Linked DNA regions of Arabidopsis thaliana. The protein of the gene in region 2 interacts with the protein of the main gene of each other region in a pairwise test. Each region holds a gene or a part of one and is shown on either strand. Other genes may lie near its edges.

The links.
Region 1: the proteins of SRO1 (region 2) and DREB2B interact in a two-hybrid assay, tested with the Arabidopsis thaliana proteins (one study listed by BioGRID).
Region 3: the proteins of SRO1 (region 2) and NAC082 interact in a two-hybrid assay, tested with the Arabidopsis thaliana proteins (one study listed by BioGRID).

Annotation. Positions count from the first base shown.
Region 1 is NC_003074.8:3,452,670-3,458,139, forward strand, and holds DREB2B (DRE/CRT-binding protein 2B), read left to right. Parts: upstream 1-2,685; 5' UTR 2,686-2,884; intron 2,885-3,310; 5' UTR 3,311-3,339; coding exon 3,340-4,332; 3' UTR 4,333-4,630; downstream 4,631-5,470. Other genes in the region: RLP34 (receptor like protein 34), read right to left, coding at 1-1,192; TBL32 (TRICHOME BIREFRINGENCE-LIKE 32), read right to left, coding at 4,631-4,973, 5,238-5,396. UniProt on the Arabidopsis thaliana protein: Transcriptional activator that binds specifically to the DNA sequence 5'-[AG]CCGAC-3'. Binding to the C-repeat/DRE element mediates high salinity- and dehydration-inducible transcription.
Region 2 is NC_003071.7:14,915,102-14,922,109, forward strand, and holds SRO1 (uncharacterized protein), read right to left. Parts: upstream 5,382-7,008; 5' UTR 5,073-5,381; intron 4,735-5,072; 5' UTR 4,632-4,734; exon of another isoform or gene 4,492-4,631; intron 4,208-4,491; 5' UTR 4,098-4,207; coding exon 2,992-4,097; intron 2,867-2,991; coding exon 2,622-2,866; coding exon of another isoform or gene 2,593-2,621; exon of another isoform or gene 2,332-2,592; coding exon 2,252-2,331; intron 2,151-2,251; coding exon 1,983-2,150; intron 1,905-1,982; coding exon 1,797-1,904; 3' UTR 1,589-1,796; downstream 1-1,588. Other genes in the region: SKL2 (shikimate kinase like 2), read left to right, coding at 83-149, 223-341, 434-610, 699-808; DAD2 (Defender against death (DAD family) protein), read left to right, coding at 6,486-6,569, 6,663-6,710. UniProt on the Arabidopsis thaliana protein: Probable inactive ADP-ribosyltransferase that functions with RCD1 to regulate oxidative stress, hormonal and developmental responses. May regulate some stress-responsive genes. Seems to play a smaller developmental role than R.
Region 3 is NC_003076.8:2,891,348-2,897,867, forward strand, and holds NAC082 (NAC domain containing protein 82), read right to left. Parts: upstream 4,134-6,520; 5' UTR 3,964-4,133; exon of another isoform or gene 3,716-3,963; 5' UTR 3,362-3,715; coding exon 3,205-3,361; intron 3,126-3,204; coding exon 2,848-3,125; intron 2,587-2,847; coding exon 2,161-2,586; intron 1,885-2,160; coding exon 1,276-1,884; 3' UTR 991-1,275; downstream 1-990. Other genes in the region: VPS9B (vacuolar protein sorting-associated 9A-like protein), read right to left, coding at 1-78, 167-314, 587-669; AT5G09340 (Ubiquitin family protein), read right to left, coding at 5,328-5,567.

The DNA.
Region 1 (5,470 bases), on a different chromosome or scaffold from region 2:
AGTTGTTGCTGCCAATGTTAAGGTATTGTAGGTTAGATGGTGAAGATATATTCCCAAACTCAAGAGTGCCTTTGAGTTGGTTACCACTCAAACCAAGGTAAGTCAAAGAAGGAATGATGAAGAGAAAAGAAGGGAATGTTCCGGTGAAGGCGTTGTCACTTGCATAAAAAGCCATCAAGTTGGATAGTGAAGTGATATTAGGAGGAAGCGTGCCTGTGAACTTATTGTTGGAGAGTGATACAACTGACAACCCTGTCAAGTTTAGTAGGACATTGGGAAAGTTTCCACCGAGCTTGTTGAAAGAAACATCTAAGCGGGTCAGCTGGTTTAGATTGCCAAAAGAAGATGGGATTTCACCATAGAAATTGTTAACAGAAAGGTAGAGAACGATAAGTTGAGAAAGGTTGCCAATCGAAGATGGAATCTGACCCGAATATTTGTTATAAGAAAGGTGGAGATTGGTGAGATTAGAAAGACCTCCAATTGAAGACGGAAACTGACCAAAAAAACGATTACCAGAAAGACCTAGAAAGGTGAGATGAGAAAGATTACCAATTGAAGATGGAATCTGACCAAAAAAACGATTACCAGAAAGACCTAGAAAGGTGAGATGAGAAAGATTACCAATTGATGATGGAATCTGACCCGAAAACTGATTAAAAGAAAGGTCGAGAGAGGTGAGACGAGAAAGGTTTCCGATTGAATTCAGAATCTGACCCGAAAAACGATTATAAGAAAGGTCGAGAGAGGTGAGATGAGACAGATTTTCAATTGAAGACGTGATTTGACCTTCAAAATCATTATGTGAACGGTCTAGAGTGGTTAGGAAATGAAGGTTTCGAATACTGCTGTTGGAATGAAACCGGCCATGGAGGGAGCTGCAGCTAAGGTTGAGCTCGATCACTTCCCCGGACTTGGCATTGCACGTGACTCCCTCCCAATTACAACAGTCGCTGTTATTCCCCCATGACTCCGTCTTCCGATGAGATTCAATGCCAACCATCTTACAAGTAGGAGAAGGCTTCCCAATCTCAAACTCGTTTTTGAACTTGAGAAGTGCATCCTTTTGTTCGGGACGACACAAGTGCCTAGTAGGAGCCGCAAGCACGTCCGAAAAATGACAAATGAATAAGAAAGTAAAAGAAAGAGTAATACGAATGATACTCGTTGAGACCACCCAAGAGCCTTTCATCCTCCTTAATTTACGCTAGCTAGCTAGTCGAATTTTCTTGAATATTGATAAAAGAAAGTGGAGTTTGTGGTAGTAAATAAGATGGTTTCGTGCCCATCTCTTTATAGACATAGTAATAGATTCTACTCCACAAAGATAAATCCAACACAGCTTGACTCACATTATATAACCAGTCTTTCTACCAAGTGTTCTTCACGTTGAAACGAAAAGACTTAAAAGAGTCTTCATGTTGAATAGTCCATTTCCACACATTTTGTCTTTACTTTAATTACGTACAGGAAACTTCGAAAAGTTGTTTTCCCAACCAAATTGGACGACTTGTTACTATGTCTATAAGTCTGATATTATTAGTTCAGAGATGGATATTATCAATTTTGTGCATCAGTCTGAAAAACAAACTCGGGCTAAGGCCCAACAACATAGGAGGATAAAAATAAAACGCAGGCCCATTTGATCACATTCCACCGAACTCAGAAGAGTATAAGTATTCCCCTTTTTGAAAAGAAAGAACAGATAACGTAAGATCGGTTGTGTCTCGCCGCAATTTCTCTTCATACCGTCGTCAACATGTAACGTTCTGTAGTCCGCATGAAACCTTAGCAAATTCGCGAGCTTCGATTTCCAAATTATGGGGGTTTAGGCCGACCGATAATTGAAGACCGTGATGACGAGTTTGATTTTGTCTCATTGATAATGCGTGGACATTTGCTTTGTGTTTGATGATTACTGTTAGAGACTTAGAGTTATTGTACTTAGTAGAAGAGACTAATTGTAAATTAATTAATGCGAGCTTTGGAGTTCAAAAAACCTATAACTGAACTAGAATCTCGTTAATTATTTGTGTGTTTCTCTGATTTTATGCTTTCAGGATAAAACACTGTTTGATGTGCTTCGTATATTCTCTCTTAGAATGAAATGAATTCAGAAGAAAAGTTTGTGGGTGATGGTGATAATCATGGTTGTGATGTTGCTTTGTGTTTGTTTGATTACTTATTTTTTGGAATTTTGGATGTATATTATTCAATTTAATATACTGCCATACTAGAAAATAAATATTATAGATTATAAATCTACTTTTTTGGTTATAAATTATTCATAACATACTGTTAATTTGTTTTCCTCAAAATATCAGATTATTGTTCAAATATTGACTATAATCTTTAAAATGAGACTTTCTTAATAATTAAGTTTCATTATTTAAATATTTATTTCTTAAAATATTAGTATGGTTTTGTGATTCTTGAGTCTTAACATGTACATATTGTATTAAATATGTTTCTGTATGTGTTTATCAACTATAGTAAGGATTCCCATTGCTTACCCGTATTGAGAGCGTGTTTTTGTGTGGTGAAAATTTCAACACGTGTCGTCACTGGGGAATGTTATGATCCACAATTCGAATTAATAAGTGCCATGTCACTACTACTCTCATTAAAATATCAGAAATATCTAGACAAAGTTATAAATACCCTTTCGACCTCTTGATAATATCTGATTTCTGTAAAAAGTTTGTTGTCTTTACAAAAAGAAAAGAAAAAAGAGACGCTAGAAAGAACGCGAAAGCTTGCGAAGAAGATTTGCTTTTGATCGACTTAACACGAACAACAAACAACATCTGCGTGATAAAGAAGAGATTTTTGCCTAAATAAAGAAGAGATTCGACTCTAATCCTGGAGTTATCATTCACGATAGGTATGTTTGATTTCCAATTAATCTTTTCTGGGTTTGTCGATTTTTCGCTGAATTAGTCTCGAAGAGGGTTTTGGGTTTGATGAATTTTGGGTTTTAGATGTTTTCGTGTTCATTGATTTGTTCAAAATGTCATCCTTTTAGGTTTCGCTGTTTTTGAGAGAAATTTGGGAAATTTTCTAATTTAGCGTTTATTTTTTTTTACACGGTTTCTTTAATCTAAGACTCGGGTTAAAAAATTGGAAATTCTAATGCGATTTTTGCTTTTCTATTAATAAAGTAAAACTTGGTGAGCAAGTAAAACACCCTTGGTGCCCAAGTTGTTTCTGTTCCTCTTTATAACTATAAATTCCGTGACTCGATAATTTCTGTTTTCTGAAATTGAGAGGAAGAGACTGATTCAAAACCTTTTTTTTTCCTATCTTGTAGATTCTTAGATTGCGACTATAAAGAAGAAGATGGCTGTATATGAACAAACCGGAACCGAGCAGCCGAAGAAAAGGAAATCTAGGGCTCGAGCAGGTGGTTTAACGGTGGCTGATAGGCTAAAGAAGTGGAAAGAGTACAACGAGATTGTTGAAGCTTCGGCTGTTAAAGAAGGAGAGAAACCGAAACGCAAAGTTCCTGCGAAAGGGTCGAAGAAAGGTTGTATGAAGGGTAAAGGAGGACCAGATAATTCTCACTGTAGTTTTAGAGGAGTTAGACAAAGGATTTGGGGTAAATGGGTTGCAGAGATTCGAGAACCGAAAATAGGAACTAGACTTTGGCTTGGTACTTTTCCTACCGCGGAAAAAGCTGCTTCCGCTTATGATGAAGCGGCTACCGCTATGTACGGTTCATTGGCTCGTCTTAACTTCCCTCAGTCTGTTGGGTCTGAGTTTACTAGTACGTCTAGTCAATCTGAGGTGTGTACGGTTGAAAATAAGGCGGTTGTTTGTGGTGATGTTTGTGTGAAGCATGAAGATACTGATTGTGAATCTAATCCATTTAGTCAGATTTTAGATGTTAGAGAAGAGTCTTGTGGAACCAGGCCGGACAGTTGCACGGTTGGACATCAAGATATGAATTCTTCGCTGAATTACGATTTGCTGTTAGAGTTTGAGCAGCAGTATTGGGGCCAAGTTTTGCAGGAGAAAGAGAAACCGAAGCAGGAAGAAGAGGAGATACAGCAACAGCAACAGGAACAGCAACAGCAACAGCTGCAACCGGATTTGCTTACTGTTGCAGATTACGGTTGGCCTTGGTCTAATGATATTGTAAATGATCAGACTTCTTGGGATCCTAATGAGTGCTTTGATATTAATGAACTCCTTGGAGATTTGAATGAACCTGGTCCCCATCAGAGCCAAGACCAAAACCACGTAAATTCTGGTAGTTATGATTTGCATCCGCTTCATCTCGAGCCACACGATGGTCACGAGTTCAATGGTTTGAGTTCTCTGGATATTTGAGAGTTCTGAGGCAATGGTCCTACAAGACTACAACATAATCTTTGGATTGATCATAGGAGAAACAAGAAATAGGTGTTAATGATCTGATTCACAATGAAAAAATATTTAATAACTCTATAGTTTTTGTTCTTTCCTTGGATCATGAACTGTTGCTTCTCATCTATTGAGTTAATATAGCGAATAGCAGAGTTTCTCTCTTTCTTCTCTTTGTAGAACAATAAGTGTACGTAATTAACAAAAATTATAACCATAATTTACAATTACAGTTCTAAAAAAATCTTGAATTTAGAGAAAAGAATCATGGATAAAATAACTTGGCAAAGAAAAGCTCGTTCCAAGTATCTTGAAGACCAGGCAAGCACCAATGTATACAGTCTGAGTAGCTAGCCGGATTTGCTAGCTGCTCCTTCGTCAATGGGCTCCATTGCTTCTTGTAGATTGACGTGTGCGCGTCTTTCCGATAGCCAGAGAGTTGTGTAATGTTAAGTACCGTCACCGGAAACTCTGCTCTTTGGTCTAATTCCTCTCCTATCACTTTCATTAAGGTTTTGCTGCAGTCTGATGGCCAATGGTTCATGTCTTGGATCGGTGTCGTTTGATTGTAACAATTTTTTCCTTGTTCGCCTCCCCAATCCTCGCCCCTGATCATGGAGGTAGACAAATATGAAACCTTTGTATGCTAAATCTTAGTGTGGTTTCTAATTGCGGATCATGTTATAAGCCACATTTACTTAAACTATTAAAGATAAACCGGATCAATCTAAACTCCATTACTCATTTCATTCAATACCAAATCCGGACTACATTGTTCTAAGCCATATATCTCCTCTCTTTTTGGTTCCTGGTTTTGAATTTGAAGTGTTTATAGATAGTTAAATCACAGTAAAGTTCAAGAAGTTACTGACTTGTAATGAGTAGGAGACATGGTAGCAAAGAAAACCCTCGTCTTCAATGGATCCATATTCTTCTTCACCCATTTAACCATAGTCTTCAACGCCATTCTATAAGCATCTTCACTCTCCATCTCAACGATTCTCTTCTTCTCATCCTTGAAAGAACCTTCCCTTCAAATAACAAATCGAAAAAAATAATCAAATCATAAGTATTATACAGAAAAGTATTTGAGAACCTATACTTA
Region 2 (7,008 bases):
TAAGTTTGCTTTTGGATCATGGTCATCATCTAACAAGAATCTTCCTCACTTCTCAGGACCCTTTTGTTTGTCTTCATTTTAGGGATTCTTGCAGAAGGGCCGGATTCTGTAGCTGAAGCAGAGAGTTCGGTATTGGAAAGCTTGAGCAGGTAAAAAGTCATGTCTAGTGTTCAATCTCTTTCCAGTTACCAAGATTAGCCACTGATCTCCATGTCTTTGCAGCCATGTGCGTACTGTTGTCTCAACTTTGGGAGGTAAACATGGAGCTGCGGGGAGAGCTGATCAGTGGAGACATCTTTACTCCGGATTTACCGTTTGGGTATCACAGACTGAAGCCACAGGTCAATTTCTCTCTACATCCACTTAAAATGAACCCTTCTGAACAGAAAACGAGAATCACTGCTTATACATTCAAGATTGGTTCTGAATGTAGATGAAGAGTCAGCTAAAGAAGAAGCGAGGAGAAGTAAGCAAGAGAGGGAGATTGGGTATTCAAACGCCGACGTTGTGGTGAAGCTCCAAGGTTGGGACCCGACGCATGCAAAGAGCGTGGCTCAGGCTTCCTTGAGTGCACTTAAGCAACTGATCATCTCAGACAAGGGACTTCCAGGTAATAAATAGAAGAAACCCATTTGTAAATTGATGCTTTAATCTGATAAATGTTTTGGAGATTAAATGCGTCTTTTATGATATTGAAGGTAAGAAGAGTTTGTACATACGCTTGGGATGCCGTGGCGATTGGCCCAATATAAAACCGCCGGGATGGGATCCATCGTCTGACACTGGACCTCATCCACAGTTTACATAAACAGTGTCAAGACATGCTTTTTGCTCTCTCCTACAAACGAATGCTCTTGAAGAAATTTTCTGTTATTGTTGTCATTGTCAATGGTATTTAATTGTTAAAGAAGTTGTATATTGGATAATTTGAGAATTGACTACCAATCTGAGTTTTAAATGGCACAAAGCGCACCATGGCTCAGAGAGTCCTTTAGTGCGCTATGTGCCATGGCTCACCAAAGCGCGCGCTTTTTAGATCTGTGGTGTTCTATTAACAGATTCTCTGCATATGGTTTTAGCCTTCAAGCTTATATCGTCTATGGTGTTCTATTTAGAAAAATTAGGGATTTTACATCTTCTAACTGGTTAAAATGTCGTGGGTTAAGAGGTAAGGGTCAAATCCGTTTTAGTTTAAGATAAACCTAGGATTGATTTGGTTTGATAAGCTAATTATAACTCATGGTTAAACTTTCTAGTCGTGGATTAGGTATTGACCAGCTAAATTGAATCATGTATTAACCAGCTAGGTTTAGAAAATGGTTTATCCTATTCCTCCTAGTCATTTCTTCGTGCAAACCCTAAAATCACAGAATTCTGTTGTTGGTTTCGAAGAGTTTTCGCCTGAACACAAGAGGCGATCGCTTTGCCACCTTGTGCATCGGCCAAGGCTCACGTATGGCGTGCGCATTATAGATGTCGCCTCGCCTCCACGTCTTGTTGCCCTATTCTTAGAGCATCGGTGCGCTATGCGCCATGGCACGCCATTAGCGCGCTTTTTAAAACTAAGGCTGTTGAATAACTTCCAGCTGATGAATTAAACCTCACAAAGAACCAAGGCTGTTGATCAATAAAAGACTCTTTGATTCCAAGTAAAGAAAAACAGGATAATGGAGACTAGTTTCACCAAAAGAGTAAATATAACAGTACTACTACTAAGTTTCTAAAGATCAAGTCACGTTTGTCGTAATCCAAACTATTAAGGTTTCACGACAGCAAAGAGAAGTCGACACATTAATCTAACCCAAACTCCTTTGAAGGCCTGTTATTGTAGATATCAGCAGATCATCATCTCCTACAATCATACTCAGCGTCTTATAAAATTCCTTTCTCGACACCTTCTTCTCCTGCAAGAGCACACCGATTATGTTAATACAATATGATAACCTTGACTATTGGTAAAAGACATGGTTTATATTATTTACCCTGAGTTCCTGGTAACCAGCAATTATCAAATCCATGTCTTTACGAGCAATTTTGCTCGAGATTGCTTTGAACAGCAGAGGGAAAGGCATTATAGGAGATCTGGGCCTTCTACTGCTGGAGCTATTCTTTTCGCTCCCTGAACCTCCATTTGATACCCTTCCTGGCTCCTGCTTCATACAAACAAGCAACATTACTCGTTTGTGTCCATATCAAATATTAACAATGACTGCTTGAAAATGAGAATCTGATCAGGTACAATTCAACTTACATTTGAGGGAGAACCTTTGGGTCCTTCCAAGGTGAGTCCCGAACTCTCGTGCCTACTCTGAGTAGTAGGAAGAATATTCCCTGCACAAACAAAACATGTCATCCCGTTTCGAATACTACAGAAAACAAATGTGATCATCGAAATACCCATATATATTAGCCATGGATATCTCACTGGACCCTTGGGATGATGAAGTATGTTTACCACCCCCAGAGGTCACAAGGTGATGTGGATCCTTTTCTAACTTATAGAGGAAGATTTCAGGATCCAAATAGCTGATCTTCAGTAAGATCTATATGCTGTCTCCCATTCAATGCGTCATCAGTTGATTTTTATGGAAATTACAGGAGAAATAACAAATGGTAATCACCTTCAGCATTGGGGATAGACAGCTTGAAGCTAACTACAAATTCTGGGTAAATGTGAGTGTTCATATTCATGTTCCAGATAAGGTAATGCTTTGGACTCTCAACATCATCAACCCCATTATCATACTCTTCTCCACCAGTAAAGTACTGCGTGTTATCACCACGAAGAGGCTCCATATTCCCCATTATTACGCGGCACAAAACCATGTGCCGCACACCATTATCGTCAATATCACAGTATCTAGCACTGTAAACAATATCTTTCACATGTGCTTAGATAAAACCATAAAACAAATGAACTATAAAGTGAAACAAAAATAGCATAAGGCAGGCTAAATGAGAGAGGAACTGGCATAGAGGGCGAATAAAAACCTGAAATAAGGGCAGTTTGCAGCGTGAACCCCAACACCATACATAGACTTTTTAATGAATGCTCCACCCACTCCAAGTCCATGCATCATCACGGCAGATAACACTTCCTTCTTCGCAGGAACCCATGCATATCTAATGTTTGCATCTCCTCGGTGTTTCTTAGTGATGTCAGCTTGCTTCTGGAAAAGAGATAGACGAGCCTTTGCAATCTCGCTTGAAAACTGATACACATCAAGCGACTCTACATGCCCTAGAGTGGCAGCACCCAAAGCAAACATTTGTTTGACAGCATCTTTATCAAGCTCCTCCTCAGCAGGCTTGACACCAGAGAACCGATCAGTTTCTGTTTTGTCCCATTTCTCAACAGCATCATCAAGCTCACGGCTGCAGCTATCCTCTGATGCCTCGTCATTTGGCCCATTTGAGGATCTCTGAACAGCTTGAAAATCATCCATATTGTCACCAGACTCGTCAGTGACCACATTCAAATTCAGCCTCGGTAACTCCCCACTATTTACATCAATTTCAATGTGCAGCTTGATCTCACGTTGATCATGTTGTTCCGGATCTTCCCCACGGATATGATGGCAGCCGTCCCTTTCGAGGGTGTCAAAAGTTTCAGGGAAAAAGCATTTGCCAGCAATATCAATCCAAGCAAGCTGGGTTTTTACACCTGTTTCCAAGTCTAGTCGATACATGTGCAAGAAATCCAGGAGAAAATGGCGACCGCACCAATTGAACTCAATTGTAGCTCTCTTTGCTTCAAGATCATTCCTGATGTCGCATAGAATATGATCAGGCAAATCAATCCATTCACCATTCTCATGGAACATTACACGTTTTGGCACTCCTGTCTTCTTATAATAAGAGAAGTATCTGACCAAAGACTTCTCAACATGATTCTCAGAAACAATAACTTTGTTTTCACCATCCAAATTTCTCCTTTTCTCAAGCTTCTGGGTGGAACTGTTGGGTGAAAGCACCCATTGCAGCTTTGCATATGACCTTCCAGAATCATAAGGAGTATAGTTCCCTGGATGCTTTCTCTTCTTCCCAAGACCATCTTTATAACTACTATCCGATACCTTGACGATTTTGGCTTCCATTTTTCTCTACTAACAACACTAAACCTATAACCTTGAATATAAAGTCAACTAACACACCGAACTGTCTAGCAGTACTAAGGATGGGAACTCACCAACAGCTTCGAAAAAAACTGCAAGAAGAAAGGTGTGCATCAGATATGAAAAAAGTGCAGTGACTGTATATAAAATAAAAATGAAAAGACTCTCATCATGCAATAACCTACTTAACAAAAAGACACTGCTATAAACACCAACAGAAAGCAACTATATGAACAGTTATTCATGAGTTTTCCTACAAAGCATCATGTTTCAATTGAAACAACACTGTCGAATCGATACCAGTAAAATCCCTTTACAAATCATAGGAAAAACAATATAAGAAAGATTACAAGAAAGGAAAGAAGTGACAACTAACCTACACAAGGATGAAAAAAGAGGTTCAGCTACTCAGAAGGCAAGATCTTATAACAAACATGACAGAACAAAGAAGCAAAACTGCAGATACAAATCCGGACTAGATAGAACGGTAAACTCATCGGAAAGCTTGAGACTTACCAGGCTGTAGCACTTGTTGATAAATACATTAGTATTCATGTTGGCAAAAAGTAATCAGAGAAGAAACGTCACCGTATTTCTTCGATGTTCACAAATGTCAACTCTGTAAGACAAGCCAAAAAATTTAACCTTCAAAGACAGAAACAGACCAACAAATAACAACAGGCTATCAAAGCTGTCGAGACAAGCTCTCTTCTGTTTAGGTGAATACATGAATCATAACAACAGAAGCTTAGACGAGACATTTTCACTCTTAACAAATTATGTAATAGCAATCTTTTTCAGCTTTTCAGCGAAACCCCTAATAAAATTATGCAAATAAACCATCAATTGACACCAAAACATCTCAAGAACAACACAATTCACAACAATTTCGACTAAATGTAACACACCAATTCACAGAATCATAGATTATATCAATAAAGACAAATTTAAACTAACCTTATGAACTCTTGAGATTGGACGCAAGGCAAGAGCAATATAAGAGAAACTGTAAAAGGGGAGAGAGAAGCGAGAGAAAATTGCTACAGCAACGGAAACCCTAAACCGGCGACGACGAAGAAGAAGAAATCGTTTGGAAAAAGACGAGCCATTTATATATATTCTCTCGTCGGCGAAAAAATCTAAGTCGGCGGTCTACTCTTGGACACAAAGCCAATCGTTTAGGCAAAGAACAAAGTTACACATTTTTTTTTTTTACGTCAAAGCCCAATTCTAACTGGACCGTCACCTATCAATTCTGACCCGGTCAAACACGGCCAATTTCACTATCAAGTATAAACAAGTAAATAAATGTGTTGTAAACTACTCTATTATAGTTACATAGACATTTTTTCAGTTTTAAACTAGTTTTGTCAGATATCGCTCCAATAATATAAATTTATAAAATTGTTATCATAAAAAATAAATTTTCAATTTTGTCAAGATTGTGGTTTTAATACTTCAGACCAGAAAAAAATTTAATTTTTGTTTTAGTTTGAGTGGTTAGGACATATGTTACGGAATTTAGAAGAAAACTTATTTTGTTCGGTTACGTTAAATTTGAAAATAAACTCATCTCTTACGTATGCATTCAATTATTATATTATATACATCTTTTATCTAAACTTTCCTTACGCTGTACAAGGAAATTACAAACGTTCTCTTTGAATTTGTTAAAGTTGTGTTTATTCTAAAAATTTCAGTGTATCTCCGATTATTCCGTTTTTAATTGTTACATCCACTCTGCCTGCCTTATTGAATGATTAATCTCTTGAAGAAATCAGTTATCTAATTACCTTCCATCTAATCCGATTATTTCGTACCTAATTTTGTATATCTTGATTATTTAAGATTTTAAATATAAAACAACTTCTTTTTTATTCAAACATGTACATTAAGAGTATGATAAATTATAGCAACTTATGTACAAAATTTTAACTAAAAACATAAAATGTTGTCTTAAAAATATATTTTTATGTTTACTACCATTTTCAAAACAATATTAGATTAAAATGTTTTAAAAACATTATAATAACCCTAAATATTTATTTCCGATTTTTAAATTAATCGCCAAATTCATATTGAGCCCTCGAGTAACGTCTAAAGATTTTTCGAACAAGCTCGAGTGGTAGTCCATTTACAAACTGTGGAAAACATAATTTAGAAAATATCTCATAACAAAACGGCGACGTTTCGAAGTTCAGACTTAAAAAGGCTTGGGCCCAAAGGCCCCAAACAATGACAGCCCGTTTTAATCAGCAAATCCTGAAACAACGTCATTTCAGCGAGAGCACCAGACTCGTGAAGAAGAGAAAAAGAAGAAGCAGGAGAAAAGTTTGCTTGCTGTGCCTGTGTTGGTCAGTCTTTGAAGAAATGGTGAAATCGACTAGTAAGGATGCTCAGGATCTCTTCCATTCTCTTCACTCTGCTTATACCGCTACACCAACGAATCTCAAGGTCCACCATTATCATTTTGTTCTGATCTTTTATGAATCATCATTGAAATTGAAAAATCCGCTGAATGTTCTTGTTTGAACTCTGTTTTTGTAGATCATCGACCTTTATGTTTGTTTCGCGGTCTTCACAGCTTTGATTCAGGTACTCTAATCTCCTTTATTGCTTCGACTGTGCCTCTCGATCCGTGCCTTTTCGTTTCGTTTATGTATATGGGGATTTCAAATGTATGAGTTTTTATGTTCATATGTATTGATATGTGTATTTTCAAATAGAAAGACACTCAAATTTGATATACTTGATTTGCAATTTTTGTGTTCATTTGTATAGCATCATCCATTACTTTGTCGTTGAAATGTTTGATCTGTGTTTTTTTGAAGGACTATATCAAAGAAACTCTTGTTGCTTAATTCTTGACTCATGTTAAATTCTACAGAATTTC
Region 3 (6,520 bases), on a different chromosome or scaffold from region 2:
CTCATCGGATATAACATCCTCGGTGTTTGATGCAAAAACCCGGGGAAATAACTTTGTCATGACATACTTCTCCAGGCCCTGTGTATACATAAATTAAGTCAAGAAAGATTATTATAGATAAATCATGAGAGAGATAAGCAGGAAAAAGGGAAGAAGAATAACTCACATCTCCCGCATTGTCTAACTCATCATCGGAACAACCAGACCAAAGTGGATGAGCCCTGAAAGCAGACTCCATCTTGTAAAAGAAGTCCTGAACTGCATCACAATCTTTTTCAGGGTCTGGTGCAGTGTTCAAGATCGAAACAATGAAACTGCAAAACATCAAAAAACGTTCACAACTCAAAAAACCAGTGGCATGTGATGTTTCCATCACAACAAAAATCTGCTTAAGTTTATAGCAAATCATCGATATCATAACATTGTCGCAAAAACGAAAAAAACTATTCATAACTACTAGAGAGCAATGTGAAATCAGCAAGATATCTTATCTTGCACACATGTAATCATAACTAGAGAGTAAATAAACCTAAAGTATACAAAAAGCGAAGAAGAGAAGCGAGAGAGAGAGAGAGAGAGAGATAACCTTTTGATTGATTTGATGAAATCTTTGGCGGAGGGTTTACTCAAGAAATTATGCAGACCCGAGACGACGTCTGTGTTCTCCATCAATCCCCCAAGATACCGTACGATCGACGACAATCAAAATTGAATTCTTTGTCAGCAAGGTTTTTAGTGGAAAGAGATCAAATCGGCTTTTTAATACACGAGATGATGAATAATGATGCGGTGGGAAAGCTAAAATATTGGGCCAACGAAATAGGATTCGAAACGAAGCCCATTTAAGCCCTACATCTACATCATCTGTTATGGTCCTAAATCTGGTACGATACTTTCTTCTTCTTATTTACTTTTTTCATTCTTCGTTTTTACTTGGAACTTTTGTTCCTCCCGATTAGTTTTTGTGTTTTTCAGTATTCATCATTAAAATTCCTTTTAGTATTAATGATATGATTTAGACAGAAGAAGTATATATACAATAATCCATAGCAAAATAGAAACAAGAATAAATGTTGAGAATACTCTGAAGAAATACGAGATTCTAAGGATGAAACAGAGAATGTTGATAGGGAAGTTTCGACACATTAAAAAGATTTTGACTAATAAAAATCATAATTCAAAGACAAGAAACAAAGGTGCTTGCTCCTCCTTCTATTCGGTCTGATTTGCATCTGTTGGATTTGTAAATCCTGCTTCTCTTCTCTTCTTCTTTTTTTACATTTTTGGTCTATGTCTCATGGAAGCAGAAAAGCCATAAGGATCATCATCATTACCACCAGAGAAGTCAAAATGGCCTTGATTATACAGAAAGGAGGAGCTTCTCGGGTCATTGCGATTCCCAGTTTGAGGATTTAATGGAGCAGTGAGGTCTTGTAGCCCAGTTTGAGGATTAAATGGAGAAGTGAGGTCATGTAGCCCAGTTTGAGGATTAAATGGAGCAGTGAGGTCTTGTAGCCCAGTTTGAGGATTAAATGGAGCAGTGAGGTCTTGTAGCCCAGTTTGATGATTAAATGGAGCAGTGTGGTCTTGTAGCCCAGTTTGAGGATTAAATGGAGCAGTGTGGTCTTGTAGCCCAGTTTGATGATTAAATGGAGCAGTGAGGTCTTGTAGCCCAGTTTGAGGATTAAATGGAGCAGTGAGGTCTTGTAGCCCAGTTTGGGGATTTAATGGAGCAGTGAGGTCTTGTAGCTCTAGGTATAACTCCGAGTTTTCAACTAGGTCGTAAGAGGCCGTCCTTGGCATGCTGCTCAACTCTGGTAGTCCGTTGAAAATGCCTTCTTCTTCTAAGCAAACTGGAGCTGAGACACCGGGATCATATCTTACCTGTAGATTGATTAAATATGAGAATGTATTTTGCAGATACAAAAGAGCACATATTGATGTTGGAGAACAAGCAGATACAAAAGAGCACATATTGATGTTGGATACTAAGATCGAAGATATAGCAAAGAAGCTTTGTCTAATGGGTAACTACTACGTTCCAATGCCACTAAAACACTTAACAGCTTTAAAGTAGCCTTGCTAGCTTAAGAACATGCAGTGACACCGGCTTGTTATCACTATACTAAGCCAAAGAAGAAGAATGCAAAAAAAAACTACCTCATTATTGTTGAACCCTAAGAACTCTTCGTCATCATCAAATAGATCCAACATTGAATATAAGTCATCATTGTTGGGGGTCTGAACGGTCTCTGCCAGAGGTGCAGTAGACATAGGAGTGGTAGCTGCATCACTTGGATGTGGAAGCTCGCTGGTGGTATTAGTTGTAGCTGGTAGGAAATCCGAGACACATGACTCTGATATCATGCCACCAAAACAATCCTTATTGGAGTCATCTGGGGCAGTCAAAGCCAGAGTGGTTTCTTTGCTAGGCTCAAGAAGGTTTGTGGGATTACTAGTAGAAGGAACATCAGTACGTACTTCCTCATCACTCCAGTCCTCTTCCTTAAACGGAGCTCCATATTGAGCTCCATTTCTAGGTCCAGGACCATCTTTCTTGAACAGAACACACACCACATAAGTATCCTGCAGTCCAAAACATAATTGTAAGTAAAGAGAGAGTGATATAAGCTTACATGGATGATACATAAATCTATAAAACTAAACAAGCAGGAAACAATATATAAGTGGAAGAAGGAAAAAATTGCAGGCAGGACAGTAACACACTATCAAAGCAATTAAGGAACAAATTAAAACGGCAAGCTATCATCAGTAAATACTCGTAAACCTAAACACCTGTTCAAGTTGAAATCATATTTGCCATTTATAATAAGTAGTATATATTACCTGAGGAACATTCATCTGCGTCAGTACTTTGTCGTCAAGCCTGTATTCATGCATAACCCAATCAGTCCGCTCCCCACGAGGCGACTTGCCAAAGTGATAAACCAGAGTTTTGATCTTTCCCACAACCTCAGAATTGCACAGAACTGGTCTCTCCTTCCCCGTGGTCTTCCAGTAGCCACACTCAGTTGCACGGTTTGCCCTTACCCCACTAGCATACTTCTTTTCCCTGGGGCAGAAGAAGTGCCACTTAAGATCCCCACTTCTTATAAAAGACATATCTGTAAAGAACAAGTCTCCGAGTCAGAGAACTTAGATGCAAACACATGAACAGAACAAGAGTGTTTTAGAAATGGATACCAGGTAAATCAGGGGGTTCAAACTTGTAAATGTCAACTTCAGCAATAGCATCGACAAGGAGCTTTTTCCCCAGTATTTTCCTCTTCAAGTAATACCTCACGAGTTCAACATCAGTCGGATGGAAACGAAATCCAGGAGCGAGTTGAGTTTTCCCCATTGGCGAAGAATCCAAAGGGGAAAACTTTGAACAATCTTCTGTAAACTCTTCACCAGTAAAGTGAGAGTTTAGCAAAGAAAACTTAGTCTTCAAGTTCACAGTAAACAGGAGCAGCAGAAACGAATACCCTTTGATCAAATCAAGCAGAAAAAAAAAACAGAGAAACGAGAAAGAAGAGAGGAGAAGAAGAAAGAGAGAGAAGTCGAGGAATTGAAGACAAGTCAAGTCCAGTGCCTGAAGAGGATAATCTGAAAACACCACAACCTCCCCCTGCTCATATAACCACAGTCACACCAAAGAAAAGATGGATTCTTCTTGCAGAGATCAACAGACATCTGGTGTGCAACGTAAAGCCTGCTAATGAGACATTGAAACAAACCAAAAGAAGAAAAATTGAACTACCCGACGACCAACTTGAAACCAAACTACAATAGATAAAGTGAAGAACCCTAAAAATGAATCGGAAAATCGATAAGGTTCAAATCAGATCAAAACCCATTTCAGGAATTACAAAAGGAAAACCTAAGACTAGATCGGAACACAGAAAATCACCATCCACAACATCGCGGCGTAGGATTAGAAACAGAGAGAAAAAGTCGTACCCGGAGATGGATAGGGAAAAACTCGACGGTGGGGAAAGGACGATCGGCGGAAAGGGGGAGGAGAGCGAGAGAGAGATATAGGAGAGAGTGGCGTGAAGGACGAGCCAGAACTGAGTCAAGGGCTGCGGTCGTAGGGTTTATATAGGATTGTGTGAGGGTCTATATTAATTTATAAACCCAAAAAAACTTAAAAATTAACAATATACCTATAATTTTTATAGAATTAGTTCTCTTTCCTCAACTTTTATAAATTGGACAAAAATAGCCTTTTACTCATAATAAATTATTTAACAATATAAAAAAATTATTACCAAACGTCTTTTATTTAATTCAAATAATATTGTTTATCAAATATATAAATAAAAATATATTATAAATTAACTGATAACTAGTATGTTAACATGATAACAAAATATATATTAATAAATTTATAAATATACAATGTTAAACTATATTGTATTGCGATAAGTTTATAAATATATTATGTTAAACTATATTGTATCGCGATAAGTTTATAAATATATTATGTTAAATTATATTGTATCGCGATAAGTTTATAAATATACCGTATTAAATCATATTATATCGCGATAAATTCATAATTTCTGTGATATATTATGTTAACAGTGACATTTTGTTAATTGTACATTTTATGCATTTGTATTCTTAATTTTTATATTTTCTGGATATATAAATTAACTATTTTGGTATCTTGTTAACATAGTTATCAGTTAATTGATAAAAAAGATAAGGGAATTGTAAATGATAAAATAGTCTAGAATATGTTAATAATAACATTTGTACAGTTGACAACTGGTCAAACTAATTATCAGGTCTTCCATTGGTACATAGTGATATTACTCTTTAGTGAACTTCAGACCTCACACGCGTTTGCTAATTACAGTGTTGGGCCCTTCTCATTCAAGAGTAAAAAAACGTACTTATTAAACAGTGTTTAATCTTCATATTGAGGCATGCCTAATTATATTTTTCTCATTTTTTCACTCAAAATAATTTTTTTACGCTACAAATAATTCATAACTCAAATTGAGCTTTTAAAAAACACATTATAACCAGAAAAAAGAAATAACTTATTCTTCACAGATTTTGTATACATTTAGTCGTGAGATGAAGAAAATACACATTATACAACTTTTTATTTTCACATCATCAATTTCATCACAAATACAAATACAATCAATGTAAATAGTCTTATTATTGAACCATAAAACATGGGCAAGACTCAAGAGAGACTCTTCTTATTATTAATATTATTAAAATAAAATTACAAAAATAAATCTTATTATTATTATTATTATTATTGAACCATAAACCATCTTCTTTTTGTTAAAAAATTGGTCTAATTACCCACCACGCATACGATCGCTCATATGGAAAATGTCACAGGCTTTGATTTTGTAGTCATCCATGGTGGTTCCGCCATGGACCTCAAGCACTATCTTGCCACGGTGTTCTAGGTATTGGTATGCATTTTCCATACCCGTAGCATCATAGATTTTCGTTTTCATGTCAGCGATAGTAGTTGTCTTCTCAACCTCGACACAATATTTTTTCCCATCTTCGTCTATAATAAACACTTGCATCTACATTAAAAAAAAATAGATAAATTTCTAACAATAGCACTAAAACAAATTTTATTGATAATAATAGCACACACTTCATGAACTTTCAAAAATAGCACTACTTAACTTACTATGAAGTTTTTGTTCTAAAAGTATTATCACTAATTTATTTTTTTAAATAATACCACAACTTTTATAGAAAAACTATTCAACCAAAATAAATTAGAAATAAATTTAAAATATTATATTTTGGTTCTCTATTTCCAATTTAGGGTATATATTTCAACTATTTAAAAAATATTTTGATTCATTTTAATATTAGTTTATGGTATTATATTTGAGTTCCATATTTCCAATTTAGGGTATATATTTTCACCATTAAAAGAGATTTTTATTTATTTTAATATTAGTTTGTAGTATTATATTTGGGTTCTTTATTTTCAATTTAGGGTATATATTTCCACTATTAAAAATTTTTATTTTATTTAATATTAAATTAGTGTTTGCTATCATTTTTCTTTCTATCTTATATTTTAATTAAGTTTAATTGAAGTTTATAGTGCTATTTGTGAAATTTTAGAAATGTACTGCTAATTTTGGAAGAAAAACTTTTTTGATGTTATTTTTGTCAATTGCCCTAAAAATAACAATAAGAATAATAATTAGTCAAAAGATTGTGAGTTTAATAGTTTAAGTGTTGCACACGCACACGTATACATAAATATATATGTATATATATATATATATATATATATATATACATCTACACAAACCTTGAGAAGGAGGTTTTCTTTTGCTTCGCAAAACCCTAGAAAACCAAGCCCTAAATCACTAGAAAGAGAGAAAGCTTAATGCGAGATATCTCTTACAAAAGATTTAGGACCTCTTTTTATATATAGATGAATCCCATGGAGAAAAGGAACCAAGTTTGAAATAAGAAATTTTTTAAAAGTAAAATTCTATGTAGAAAAAGT